Linked DNA regions of Solanum lycopersicum. The protein of the gene in region 2 binds, or shares a complex with, the protein of the main gene of each other region. Links are inferred from orthologs where the notes say so. Each region holds a gene or a part of one and is shown on either strand. Other genes may lie near its edges.

Region 1 (4,356 bases), on a different chromosome or scaffold from region 2:
TTTTTTGACAGCAAAAAATGATAATATGAGCTGAGGAGCCACAAAATGATATAATAGTGAAAAGTGAAAACTGCCTACTCATTACAACAGTGAAGAATCTATATAACATCCTTTAACCATGAGATGCACAATCAAATTAACTGATTTTGAGTTACAAATGGGACTGGTTTACAAAGATCATGCACTTACAAAAACACTATGGATCTTTCCTCAAGAACCTATAATTTGTCGGATTAATTACAACGAAATCTACGTTTAAGTAGTAACTTCTGCAGAAAACAAGGTCCTGAGAATTGGCATTATGGCACTACTACCACATCGATGGTACATAAACCTGCTCTTTGAGATTCTGTGTGGCGCTTTCAGTAGGAAAACCTCTAACAGCACCTATTGTCCACTGGGATATTATGCCTGCTGCAATAGCAAAGCGAAGCTGTCTCTCTAGAACATCTTGATCGTGGTACATCTCTGGTTGTGTTGTCAACTTTCTCATTATTCCAGCGACAACAGCATCACCAGAACCAGTTCTATCACAAGTAAACGGTGTTATGAGCACATCTTCTGTACCAACAACCACCCCATCAAAAGAAGGGGAATAGTAATGAATCCTAAGTGTCCCATCTGTAACAAACAGAAGTTTCAGTCCGTCGTGCCACAAGGGAGCAATTTCCTCAGGAGTATAGTGATAATAATTTCTTCTTTGTTTGGTTTGTTCGTAATTCTCCGCAAAGTATTGAGGTCTATAATTCCTTTTCCTCTCGTAATGCTCTTCGTCAAGAAGAAATTCAAGCTCTTGCCTCGAAACCTCAATGATGTTAGCTTGCTGCCAGGCTTCCTTGATCAAATCCCTTGTTTCGTCACGTGATCTCCACAGAGGCAATGGCAGATTTAAGTCAAAAAATACAAGACCACCAAACTTCTTTGACAATGTAATTGCTTTAAAAAGAGTTGAACGCATAGATGAAGATGTCAAGACTTCAGAATTAAAGTGGAACATCCTAGCCTGCAAAACAGAAAGCAAAAGCATCCACGAAATTTGTTAATAATAGTTTCCCATCATCACCCTGACACAATTATTGAAGCAAGTAAATTCCGGAAAGGATAAAACTGATAGAAGATATATTCTTCTCCATAGTGGAGGTTCAAGCACTGTATGAAAAATATCCATCATGAATTTAACATCTTACTTCTGGTTCATACCAATCGAAAAAAACAATTTCCCTACCAAACAAGAGAATGAGAACTGATGATATATTGAATCATTTTTCAGCTTTCACGGTTTAAGGATCAACCAGTCTCAAGCTAAAAGACCGACAGTTTCAGGAAGATGAGTAACTAGTCAAGCATGAAACGACAAAGCAATTTGCTGCTCCAAATGATAACTAGTTGTCAGGACACTAGATTTTTTTAATGATAGGTAACTACACTTCCACTACCTCGCAACTAAAAGGAGTATATACGATTAGCACAAGTCAAACTCAAATAAATAAATTGACGAGAACTATGCATCTTTCGTCAATTGGTTTTACGAAACAAATGTGTCATTGCAAAGAAATGTCATCAGAGTGAAGAGATCAAGCAAACTTCAGAGCTGGAGAGAGCAATAAAACTGTTAACGACAGCACAATAGTGTCTACTGATAAATAGTGAGCTTCTCCAGCAGTCTGACTTCAATATACCTACTAATAAGCATTTATGGGGAATATTAGTGTTACTCTCTACATTCCTATGTGCGATGATGGAGATGGTAAAATAAGACTAGAAACCAAAAACAAGACGAAATAGTAGGTATAAAGTAGAGTACTTGGAATCAGCGGAATTCCAAAACTAACAACTACGAAATGAACTGGTTTCACAACGGGAGAACAAGATAAGAGCAACGACCCCAGCGGGTCAGACGATATCTTAAGAAAAGCAGCCATGGGGTTCTTTCATAAGCCATTTTGCGCAACATAGTTTAATACCAATCACATAGCAAATTAGATTCATGCATCCTCTATTAACATTTAAAGCCAAACATCACTACACAAATAGAAACAACAACATGCTTAATCTATCCATAAATAAAAATATATCTTTACTTTTAATAACAACACTTCCACATACCTCTTTCAGAACATCAAGATTCAATTCGGAGCTAAGCAGTGAATCCTCAGCAGAGTCTTGAACTTTCTCCACCCTCATTTTCCCATCTTTAAACTTAATTTCCATATAACTACATCCAGTCCTCATACTATCACTAAATTTGACAGCCCTTGTTTGCACTTTCTCTTTATTCATTAACAAAACCATTTCTTGTCCTAACTCATCACTCCCAACTTTCCCCATAAATGCAGCTCTACCACCAAGCCTAACATGAGATATAGCAACATTAGATGGAGGTCCACCAGGAGCTCTAACAAACTCAGGTGGATTCCACTGCAACATTTTCCACTCTGAATACTTATCTTTATCCATTTGCTCGGGTGATACTCTCACTGTTGGCACAAACTCCTTCTGCGCTGCACCAAAACAACAGACCAAAGGTGGGTTTGGGTATGGAAAATCAACCCCATCATCATAATCATCAATTTCTTCCATTTGGGTGTTGGATTCTGCAATGTTGATATCAAAGTTTGAATCTTTTGGGGTTCTTGATTTTTTTGAAGTTGTGGGGGTGGATGATTTTTTACGGCCACGGCGAGAGGGGGTAGGGGGTTCTTGGGTAGTGGTGGGGTGGTCATTGGTGGTGGACTTGGGTGGATTTGTTCTGTAAGGAAATTTGGAGGAGGAGAAGAAAATGGTGGGGTTTAGTGAATTGTGAGAATGATGATGAGGAAGAGATTGAGGAAGAAAATGTATTGTTGCCATGGTGTTTTTGCTATGTGCTAGGGTTTATCCATATCTTTTTCATGCCATTGTTGAAGAGAATTTGAGGTTTTGACTTCCATTCGGGTTTGGATAACTTGACCCGGTTGTTTTGACTGGTAGTGACAGTCGGGTCGGGGTTCTTACATTTTATTTTGGGCCTACTTGAAGTATTAGAACAACTTTCATGTTTAGCAAATATTAAAAAGATTAATCACGGAAATTTCACCTTTTAATTTACTTATTATCATTATCCCCTATAAGTTTTACAAATTTCCAAAATCTTTTATATTTGCGCATCACCTTAATATATCTCGGGCATCAAATTAATGTATCTCGTGCATCACATTAGTGTATCTCGCGCATGACATTAGTGTATCATGTATAAAATGTACCTCGTGAATCAGATTAGTGTATTTCATGCATCAAAGTAGTGTATCATGTATAAAATGTACCTCATGCATTAAATTAGTGAATCTCACGCATCAAAGTAGTGTATCATATATAAAATGTACATCAGATTAGTGTATCATGTATAAAATATAATGTATCTTACTTAACGATTAATATATCTCAAGCATTAGATTAATGTATCAACACTTATATTATTTTATCCGTTCGGAGGAATTTTTATAATTATAAAATTTTAAGGGACATATTGATTGTAATTTTACCTTAAAAGTATGTGATTTCTATAATTTGCCAATATAAATTAAGTAAGCAGTTGGAGGAAATCAAGGCGTATCCACTTTGTCAATCATATTTGTGTAAAAATCAGATTTGTATAAAATTGTTAGCAACTTCTCATTTGTATACATCGTTGGCAGCCTCTCATTTGTATAAATCGATGACAACCTTTCCATTCAATTTTATGTGTTCGTATATCTACATAAAATTTGTATTTGTATACAAATGAATCGAAATAAAACATTTGTATATCAAATCTCTCTCTCTCTCTCTCTCTCTCTCTCTCTCTCTCTCTCTCACTTTATGCAAACACAAATTATACATTGTATTATGTATATTTGTGTTTTGCATAAAGAGAGAAAGAGAGAAAGGCAAAGAGGACCGAGCAGGGGGGAGATTTGTATCATATAATTATAAGTGTATAGGACAAAGATATACATATTTACATGTGTATATACAATTTTCTCTCGCTTTATACAAACCAATTTATACATTTGTGTTTGTATATATTGAGAGAGGCGACGGAGAGATTAGCGAGCGAGAGGGAGAGTGGCGAGCGAGAATTTAGGGTGAGAGGCGAATGATAACAGTTTGCTATGGGTTATAATTAAATCAAGCTATGGTTATGACATTTAATTTGAATTAATAGATTGCTATTATATATAATTTTCTCAATGTATTTTAAGAAATCACCTAAATACACAGTATATTTTATCGTATCCTCTAAAATTTCCAACCATTTGAAAAAACTACAGAAACTCCTACTTTGTGCAATTTGCGGATACATTACTTTACGTGATATATCGATCAGATATATCACTT
Region 2 (4,201 bases):
TGAAAAAAAAACACTCTACATAATAATAATAATATGTTAAGTTTCTAATTAGAACTCTCATATTGGAGTCATGGTCATTAAGTTAACTTTTATAGTGGGTGTTAAAACTTACCTGATATAACCTGAAATAGTATGAACCCTCAAAGGTTTTACTGAATTAGCAAGTGAAAAAACAAAATATAACGAAACTAACAAAACACATAGGTCGTGGTGTAGTGATGAAACTGTTTTACTCATAATCAAAGATTTCATCTTCCTGTTGGAAAATTCTGTTTAAAGCGGTAATCCCTGAATTGTGCTACAATGCGAGCTTCGGATGAAAAAAAAAAAACAAAACTTGCAGCATTGTAGACTGTACACTATCTTCTACTATAATAATGAGCATGAAAGTGAAGTTGCCGACTTGTGTGACCAGGAAGACATATTAATGGACGCCAAATTATCGGACAACGCAGCAGCACCAGATCAGAAAAACGCAACAGCTACAAATAGCAGCAGCACGCCAGCACTGTACAGCGACAACAAGAGCAAGTCGAAATTGAGATCAAAGAATAAGCGAAAGAGGGCCGTGGAAGGGTGGGAGATCGGAGAGAGCATACGTTTGCTAGCTGAAGTAGTGGTAAGGTCAGAGCAAGCACGAATGGAGACGATGAGAGACATCGAGAGAATGAGAGCAGAAGCTGAGGCCAAAAGAGGAGAAATGGATCTCAAGAGAACGGAGATCATTGCCAACACTCAGCTTGAGATTGCTAAGCTCTTTGCTAGTATTACCAAAGGATCAGTTGACTCTTCATTGAGAATTGGAAGAAGTTCATCATGAGCTAGAAAATAATAATAATACTCTAGCTAGCTGTGGAAATAGAAATTACCTTGTTATCATCTTTTAATTTGATGATGATATCCTTCTTGACCCAGCCACTACCTAATTATGGAGAACATTTTATTTAGATTACTAATAATTAACTTCTATTTCCATTTTCTTGCTGATTGTATGTTCAAGGACTTTACTGTATCACTTCTCCCTTTATCAATCATATATGAAAAAAAAAAAAAAAGAGGAGTAAATTAATCCACCGTATTTTGTCTCATAATTTGATATATCTGAATTATCGAACCGAAATAGTATATTATTTAGATGCTTCCAATGCATCACAATCCAGTTAAATCTCAATCATTTGAAAATGTTTAATAAAATAAATAAGACTTTTAAATGGTATATAAAATAGACGCAAAAATTTGAAATTTAAAATACCCAAAATGCCCTTCATGTTGTATTTCCATTTAGTAATAAACCTTATCTTTTTGTCTCGTTGGGAATTTTGGCTCTCTCTTTCTTTGCTCCTTAAACCCCAAACAGAGTCTCTCTCCCTGTGCTGTGTGTCACTCCGGCAGAGCAGATAAAGCTATAAGAATGCAAGCTGCCAGTCTCGCCTTTCACCCTCCGGCACTCCGTACTTCACCTTCTTACCTCTCCTCCAAACTTCCCCACCACCTCAATTATTCACTCTTCAAACACGCTCCTTCAACTTCCACACTATCTTTAACCCAAGTACTCTCCAGAAATACCATTTGCAAACCCCCAGCTGTTGGAAAATATGTCAGGGAGGATTATCTTGTGGTATGTTACGATTCTTTGTTGTTGGTTGTTCAGTTTCAGTTAGTTTCTCAATGTTAGTTCAATTTTTCTGAATCTCGGCTATTGGGTTTTGTTTAAAAAGTTCAAATCAATTTGTTAAGTTGGAAATATGTGTTGGTGAAATTACAATTACAATTGAAAAACAAAATGAGGTACCAATATCTTGCTCGCTCTGTTTAAGGAGACAACAAAACTTTTCACCGGTGTAGTAGTAATCTTCTTGACGAATTTGGCTGTTGGGTTTGTTTATCTGCTGGAACCTTCAGTAAAATTTATATCAATTTGGAAATTTATGTTGTGGATAAGCTTTGTTTGTTGCTGAAACTGGAACACTGGTTAAACAAGAGCGAAAAGGAACCAGACTTAGGCGACTGTTTTAGAGGAATTCATCTGTTATTTGTTTTTGCAAGTGTGGTTTTGTTTCTAATGAGCGCGCTACGCAAGGTTTTGCTAATTCCAATTCATTTTCCCTAATTATATGTGATTGCAGAAGAAATTATCTGCCAAGGAGATTCAAGAACTGATAAAGGGAGAAAGGAATGTGCCACTGATTATTGATTTCTATGCCACATGGTGTGGTCCTTGTATTTTGATGGCGCAAGAACTTGAAATGGTAAGTTTGGATTTTACACAAAAATGTCTTAAACACTTCTTTGATCTGCTATTGATGGTTTAATGTAGAGTTGGGATTGATGGATAAATGCTCTAGACGATTCGTTACTGTGGTTCAAATCAAGTGGCTATTTGAATTGGTCAATTTTCCAGTTTGCAGAACCATTTGGTTTTGTAATGACTCCATTTTCTAGCTCCAATTCTTTTCTTAATTAGTTGGGGTTAGCTATAAATTAGAGTATCCTATCATAGTTTGATTATTTTTTAGCAGTCCGCCAACAGCCAACCTATGCAACTTCTTGTCGATTTGGCTTTAGGACATGCTATGTTTGTGAATCTTACATATTGGGGGTGAGGGTATCATTTTGCTCCAGCAATGATCAGGAATTGTTTTAAATGCTTAAAATCACTATTGCTACATATGAGGAGAAAACCTAGAGAAGGGTAGAGGGATGGGACAATTATCCCTGAATTTCTAATGTTGCGGAAAAATATTGTAGTTAGGAGTCGAAATTTTCTATCAACGTGAATGATATAATGTGTTAGACCTGATATTTATATAAATAAAGCACGATTCGTCAATCATTGGTGGGATAATCCTTTTAAACTCTAGGGAAACCTTATGCTCATTGATATGGTGTATTTGAAGATATAGCAACTCTGAGGGCCTACATTCAATTGTTGAAAAGATAGGGATAAATCTCAGGTGATCATGATACTCACATGGCTATTTTATCCTCAATTTTCTGTATCTCACTTCCTTGGAGAAAAACCTTGTGTTGACCTTTTTTTCCCCGTGTTTATTGTTCCTGTGAGAAATAAATATACGTAGACAGAGTGGATATGGAGAGTTTCGTGATTTTCAATTTTCCTAGTTGCTTATTCAACAATGTCACATTAATGGTGGCACAGATCGTCCATTATTCAGTGTCAGTATTGGAGTGGTTAATATGCTGAGAGTTTGTCTTAAATGGATGAGGTGCTGCTATGTGGTGAAGGAATACTATTAGCTGAGGAGCATCTATTTTTTCGCAAAAACTTTAGTAAAAGTTTGTAACTGATAAGTTTTAATGAGAAGCTATGAATAATGAAGTTAAAGTCTGCTGTCTAGTAACTTTTACCTATTATTTTATTTGGAGGAAAGATTGACATTGATCTTTCTATAGTTTAAATGCGTAATGTCCTAGTGGAATTTGTCTATCATAAACTGCATGTCACGAATCGACAATCGAAATCAAAGAATTGTATTACTTCTAGGCCTTCATAAGTTTATATTTTTTGGATAGGCATAAGGAGTAAGTTCCCCTCTCTTAGTGTGATTGCAAGATTGGAGATCCTACCGTCTAATTCAAGTATAGCTGACATTGATGATAAGAAAAGGAGATTGTTTTGTAATATTAAAATGATGCAAAAAGTATCAAAATATCTTTTTCGTTTCAAGTATACTTTTGTCTTTTGGTGTAAACAGAGTCTCACCTTATGCATGTATATTTGGGCTCGTAAGTTAGATGATTGTAAAAAAGAGACACAACCAACTATAAATAAGTTGGATGATTGTAAAAACGAGACACAACCAACTATATATACTTTTTAGCACAACCTTGGTGTATTGATTATGAAATATATTCCGCTTACCCCTGTCCACACGTAAAAATCCTCCTCAAAATCAGTAAGTATAAGTTTCGTTTGAAATAGTTTGCTTGGAGTTTAGTTATGTCTTGCTATGCACACTAGGTTATCTTTGCTAATGTCAAAATTGTTCCAATTTCATCTGACAGCTTGCTGTGGAGTATGAAAACAATGCACTTATTGTGAAAGTGGACACAGATGATGAATACGAATTTGCACGAGATATGCAGGTACAACCTCTTACACCATCATTCTGCCTTGAATTAAAATTTGTTTCTCTTTCAATACTATCAATGTTTTTGAAGAGAGTTCTGTTTTCTCTCT
Region 3 (4,287 bases), on a different chromosome or scaffold from region 2:
CAGAATTCAAAAACTGAGGCTGATCAGTTACATAAGCAGGTGCTGTCTCATATAAGCAAGCATGCCTGGTAATCTTTATACCTGATTGCTTCATTAGGTGCAATGCTTCATCAAAATTATTAAGTCTGTTTCCGACATTACTTCCCAAAGCAATTATTACTTCCTGCTCCGGGGAATGAACTTCCACTACACAATCTGGGGACGAATGGATAGAGTAAACGCCTGGTGCTACAAAGCAAGATCGGAAAAAGAATATCAATCAATCAATCAATAACTACGTCTTTATGCCTTAATCCTAAAACTAGTTGAGTCTCAGCTCTATGAATCCTCTATGTCCATTATGTGCTACAAACAAACTTCTCTATAACGGTATCATTTTCTAAATATTTTTTTGGCTGCTATAGTACAATGCTACATAACATGAAAAATCGGTTTCATAAAGAGCTTGGCCGTTCTAGAGAAATGTTATTACAGAGGATGAATGACTGTATTAAGGTCCATTTTATCTCAATTTCTAAGGTTCAAAATAAATATTTTAGAAAAACGGCTTATACATCCATCAAGATTCAACATAACCCCTCAATCAAATGTTGTAATGAGAAGCTTAAACCCATCAAAACATCTCAAAGATCAACTTCTGACAAAATCAGAAACATGACATCATAATTTCTTTAGAAAAAGCTATAATTTTGTATAAAATAGTATTCACCTTACCCCTCTCGTAGAGGTAGAAAGACTATTTCCGAAGACCTTCAACTCAACTCAAGTAACACAATAAACAAAGCAACTTTCAAAAATTAACATAGATACACAAGGCAGACATAGTAACTAATAACAATATCATTACATAGCATTCAGAAAAAAGAACAGTAACAACAACAAAATATTCCATTAATACCACTTATTGCAAATACCAATTACATCAGAACCTAATAAAGATTGAAACTTTATCACTGATAGAGCACAAAAAGATTGGGAAAACAAAAAAAAGAGGACAAAAAGGGGCTTGAAGTTACCATAACACGATTTCTTGGATGTTTTGAACCCAATTTTTTTGGGCAGAAAACGCCTGAAGACATTCATTTCAACAATGATACAAAAACTCAATGAAGATAATAATGTTAATGGCTCTGTAGCATTCCAAGATTCACAAAAATGGAAGAAATCTTCAAAATTATCATATTATAAACATCAAAAAATACAGTAAAATGGGATCTTGGAAACAGATTAGATACCCTCTTTGTTGAGCAGATTATATTTTACTAATAGAAAAGCAAAGCCTAAAACATACCTAGTGGCAGTTTGTTAAATTATAATACACACTAGGGACATTCTAGTCATAAAAAATATCTTTAGGTATATTAAAAATAGTTATTTAGAAATAATGAAATTAAATTAAAAAAAGAAAAAAAAATACTCAAAAACCCAAATTCCAAAACCCCTCTCCTCATCCAATTTCTCTTTACTACTTCACAGTGACCTTGAAGGTGTAAAACCCCAGTACCCATTATTGGGTCTTCAGGGTTGTAAAGATTGAATCTTTAAGTTCTTTTTACTATGGCTGCTTTGTCTTTCAGCTTTTTTTCTACACTCTCCAGGTTCTTTTTACTCAATTCTTTTAAGTTTTTTTTTTGTCTTTCTCATATGCTTCTTTCATTTATTGTTTAGTGCATTTGGTTACATGTAAAAAAAATGATACAAGAAACAGAGAATTAGTACAGAACTTCTAAAGGTGTCACCTTTGCAACTATCTTGTGTGTGGATAATATTCTTTTGTGGTAAAATTTGGAAGTGAAGTTGAATTTCTGTGTCCATGTTTTCATATACTAATCCATTAGTTTGAGGGCAAGTCGAATTTCTTCCATTTTTTATAAAGCATAGCCGGATGCACTAAGCTTCCACTATGCGCGGTTTGGGAAGGGCATGACTATTATTTATGTTTGCATAATTTTGGTTTGAGGTGATTTAAATGGAGTAACATGGTTATTCATGTACCGACTTCAACTTGTTTGGAATTGAGTAGTAGTAGTAGTTGTTTTTGTTCTATATGCTTTTGATTAGTGCACAGAGGGAAGTGTTGGCTTCACTGCTAGAGTTGCTCTTTTGGCAACTTTAAGGAACTAGCCGAGTGCGCGGGGTAGCCCTTTTTATTAGTGCATTGTTAGAGTTCATCCATTTTGTTATTAATAGACTAGGAAGGAGGAAAAGAATAACTGAAAGAAAGGCAATCAATTAGTTTTTCGTCAAAGTTTCATTTATTGTGGAGAACAACCATTAACGTATGGAATACCGAACAAAATCAGTGGCTTTCGAGTAATTTTTAATTTTATAATCAGTCAGTATGCAGAGAGGGTGTTTGTCTTGATTGTAATATGAACGTCAAACGGAGATTCAATGTCTCTGCTCTTCTTTATGCATCTTAGATTTTCTGACCTCAAACATGGAGTAAATTTGAAGGATAACTACTGCTGAAACTAAAATATGCTTCAAACAGGAAGAGGATAATACTAAGATTCCATCTTTCTCTGATATGCAGGCAGCATCTGCATTGGAACTTTTACCCAAATTTGAAAGTAATGCAACTTCAAGATCTTAAACTTAAAAATAAATGGGTTCTAATGGCAGTTTCAAAAGGAGGAACTACAGAGGGTATACCTGAGGAATTATCGGAGACAGAGGTGGTTGGTGCTGGGAAAAAGACCGGCAGGACATCAAAACAAGCTCCAGTTTTGTCTAGGCGAAAGAAAGTAGTTGAGTCTTCAAATGATGAGGAAGCGGAAAATACTTCAGGGTCAATTGAAGAACCCAAAAAAACCCAGAGACGAACCCGAAAGAAAAAAGACACAGTGGAGAGTTCGATTGGTGATTCCATATCCGATGTGGAGGGTAATGTCACTGATGAAGACGCTGTAACAGAGCCAGAATCAAGTGGGAAGCCCAAGAAAACCCGAAGAACCCGGAAGAAAAAAGAGATAAAGGAGAGCTCATTTGAGGATTCCATGTTAGGTGTGGAGGGCAATGTGACAGATGAGGAAGGCTCACCAACTTCAAGGTCAAGTGAAGAGCCTGTAGAAAAAAGAAAACGAACTGCAAAGAAAGGTACAACCAATTTATAAATTTATCTTCCTCATCATGGAGCACTTGTGCTCTCTTTTATATTTGGTAAGTTTAAGAAGTTTGAATCGCAAATCTGCATAATTTTGCAGCTGCTTCTAGCTCTAGTAGCTTGGAGAAAGAACCAACGCAAAAGGCCACAAGGGGGAGGAGGAAGAAGGTTAGAAATTTAGAGGATGAAGGTAGCCAGTCAGAACTTAGTGATATTGAAGAAGAGCTACATGTTGCAAATGTTGATGCCGATAATGAGGAAGAACTGGACTTCGATATAGATGTTGGAGAGGATATTAGCTTCACGTATGGATGGCCACCCCTTGTATGTTGCTTTGGTGCAGCACAGCATGCATTCGTTCCTTCAGGGAGGCCATCCAATAGACTTGTAGACCATGAATGGCATGAAAGAATGAAGGATGTAATGTGGGATCCTGAAAAGTTTATCAGGGCTCCAGGGGGATGTTCAAGTAATGTTGCTGTGGCTCTTGCGAGTTTGGGAGGTAAAGTTGCCTTCATGGGGAAACTTGGTGATGACGATTTTGGTCAGTCCTTGGTATATTTTATGAACATCAACAAAGTTCAAACACGATCAGTTCGCCTTGACAGTAAAAGAGCAACTGCCATTACACATATGAAGATAGGTAAGAGAGGGGGCTTGAGGATGACTACCACCAAAGCATGTGCTGAGGATTCTTTATTGAAGTCTGAGATCAATATAGATGTACTTAAGGAGGTGAGAATTTGAAAAAACCTAGTTTTATTTGGAAATGTGAGAAGATTAATATTCTAGTTTTCCTTTTGGGTGTGAAAGTTTTCCGATAGGCTTCTTTGTTGGAATTTACAAGCATGGAAGTCATTCTTGACATAATTCTTAATATTGCATAATCTTAATGGGATCATAAAATAAGTTACATGTTACTTTTTCTTTTTGTTTTTGAATTCATTTTGTATGTTCTGTTAGTACTAAGTTGTTTCCTTTTGTTCTAATATGTCACACAGGCAAAAATGTTTTACTTCAATACATTTTCGTTGCTTGACCCAAATATGAGATTAACCACATTACGGGCAACAAAGATTTCGAAGAAGCTCGGAGGAGTTGTCTTTTATGATCTCAACCTTCCATCTCCACTATGGGAATCAGGTGAAAAAGCCAAAATGTTCATACAAAAAGCATGGAAT

Evidence for each region.
Region 1: the proteins of CITRX (region 2) and fructokinase-like 1, chloroplastic are in contact, whole or in part, in a cryo-EM structure (PDB 8XZV), measured with the Spinacia oleracea proteins. The link is inferred for Solanum lycopersicum from reciprocal best matches to the Arabidopsis thaliana genes TRX z and FLN1. Residues at the interface, in XP_021862427.2 of Spinacia oleracea: Tyr73, Val75, Lys77, Ile83, Thr84, Val87, Arg88, Tyr100, Ala101, Thr102, Trp103, Cys104, Gly105, Pro106, Cys107, Ile108, Ala111, Gln112, Lys129, Asp131, Thr132, Asp133, Asp134, Tyr136, Phe138, Arg140, Asp141, Met142, Gln143, Val144; in XP_021865197.1 of Spinacia oleracea: Gln111, Lys112, Glu113, Phe114, Val115, Pro116, Ser117, Val118, Arg119, Val120, Ser121, His123, Gln124, Met125, Asp126, Pro127, Asp128, Ile129, Tyr130, Trp133, Met136, Gln137, Pro141, Phe143, Asp175, Phe176, Lys201, Ala203, Cys204, Ser205.
Region 3: the proteins of CITRX (region 2) and fructokinase-like 2, chloroplastic are in contact, whole or in part, in a cryo-EM structure (PDB 8XZV), measured with the Spinacia oleracea proteins. The link is inferred for Solanum lycopersicum from reciprocal best matches to the Arabidopsis thaliana genes TRX z and FLN2. Residues at the interface, in XP_021862427.2 of Spinacia oleracea: Tyr73, Lys77, Ile83, Thr84, Val87, Arg88, Phe99, Tyr100, Thr102, Trp103, Gly105, Pro106, Ile108, Leu109, Gln112, Asp131, Asp133, Tyr136, Phe138, Ala139, Arg140, Asp141, Met142, Gln143, Val144, Arg145, Gly146, Leu147, Pro148, Tyr151; in XP_021858068.1 of Spinacia oleracea: Gln218, His219, Ala220, Phe221, Val222, Pro223, Ser224, Gly225, Arg226, Pro227, Ala228, Arg230, Leu231, Ile232, His234, Gln235, Ile236, His237, Leu240, Lys241, Ala243, Phe250, Ile251, Asp282, Tyr283, Thr286, Trp308, Ala310, Met311, Ser312.

What each region holds. Positions count from the first base shown.
Region 1 is NC_090808.1:5,635,654-5,640,009, reverse strand, and holds fructokinase-like 1, chloroplastic, read right to left. Parts: upstream 2,909-4,356; 5' UTR 2,851-2,908; coding exon 2,107-2,850; intron 1,004-2,106; coding exon 311-1,003; 3' UTR 52-310; downstream 1-51. UniProt on the Arabidopsis thaliana protein: Required for proper chloroplast development, most likely through regulating plastid-encoded polymerase (PEP) dependent chloroplast transcription.
Region 2 is NC_090800.1:83,416,855-83,421,055, forward strand, and holds the start of CITRX (thioredoxin-like protein CITRX, chloroplastic), read left to right. Parts: upstream 1-1,312; 5' UTR 1,313-1,411; coding exon 1,412-1,618; intron 1,619-2,126; coding exon 2,127-2,249; intron 2,250-4,026; coding exon 4,027-4,107; intron 4,108-4,201. Other genes in the region: trihelix transcription factor ASIL2, read left to right, coding at 416-820. UniProt on the Arabidopsis thaliana protein: Thiol-disulfide oxidoreductase that plays a role in proper chloroplast development, most likely through regulating plastid-encoded polymerase (PEP) dependent chloroplast transcription.
Region 3 is NC_090804.1:5,637,442-5,641,728, forward strand, and holds the start of fructokinase-like 2, chloroplastic, read left to right. Parts: upstream 1-1,340; 5' UTR 1,341-1,557; coding exon 1,558-1,598; intron 1,599-2,536; coding exon 2,537-3,099; intron 3,100-3,206; coding exon 3,207-3,841; intron 3,842-4,107; coding exon 4,108-4,287. UniProt on the Arabidopsis thaliana protein: Required for proper chloroplast development, most likely through regulating plastid-encoded polymerase (PEP) dependent chloroplast transcription.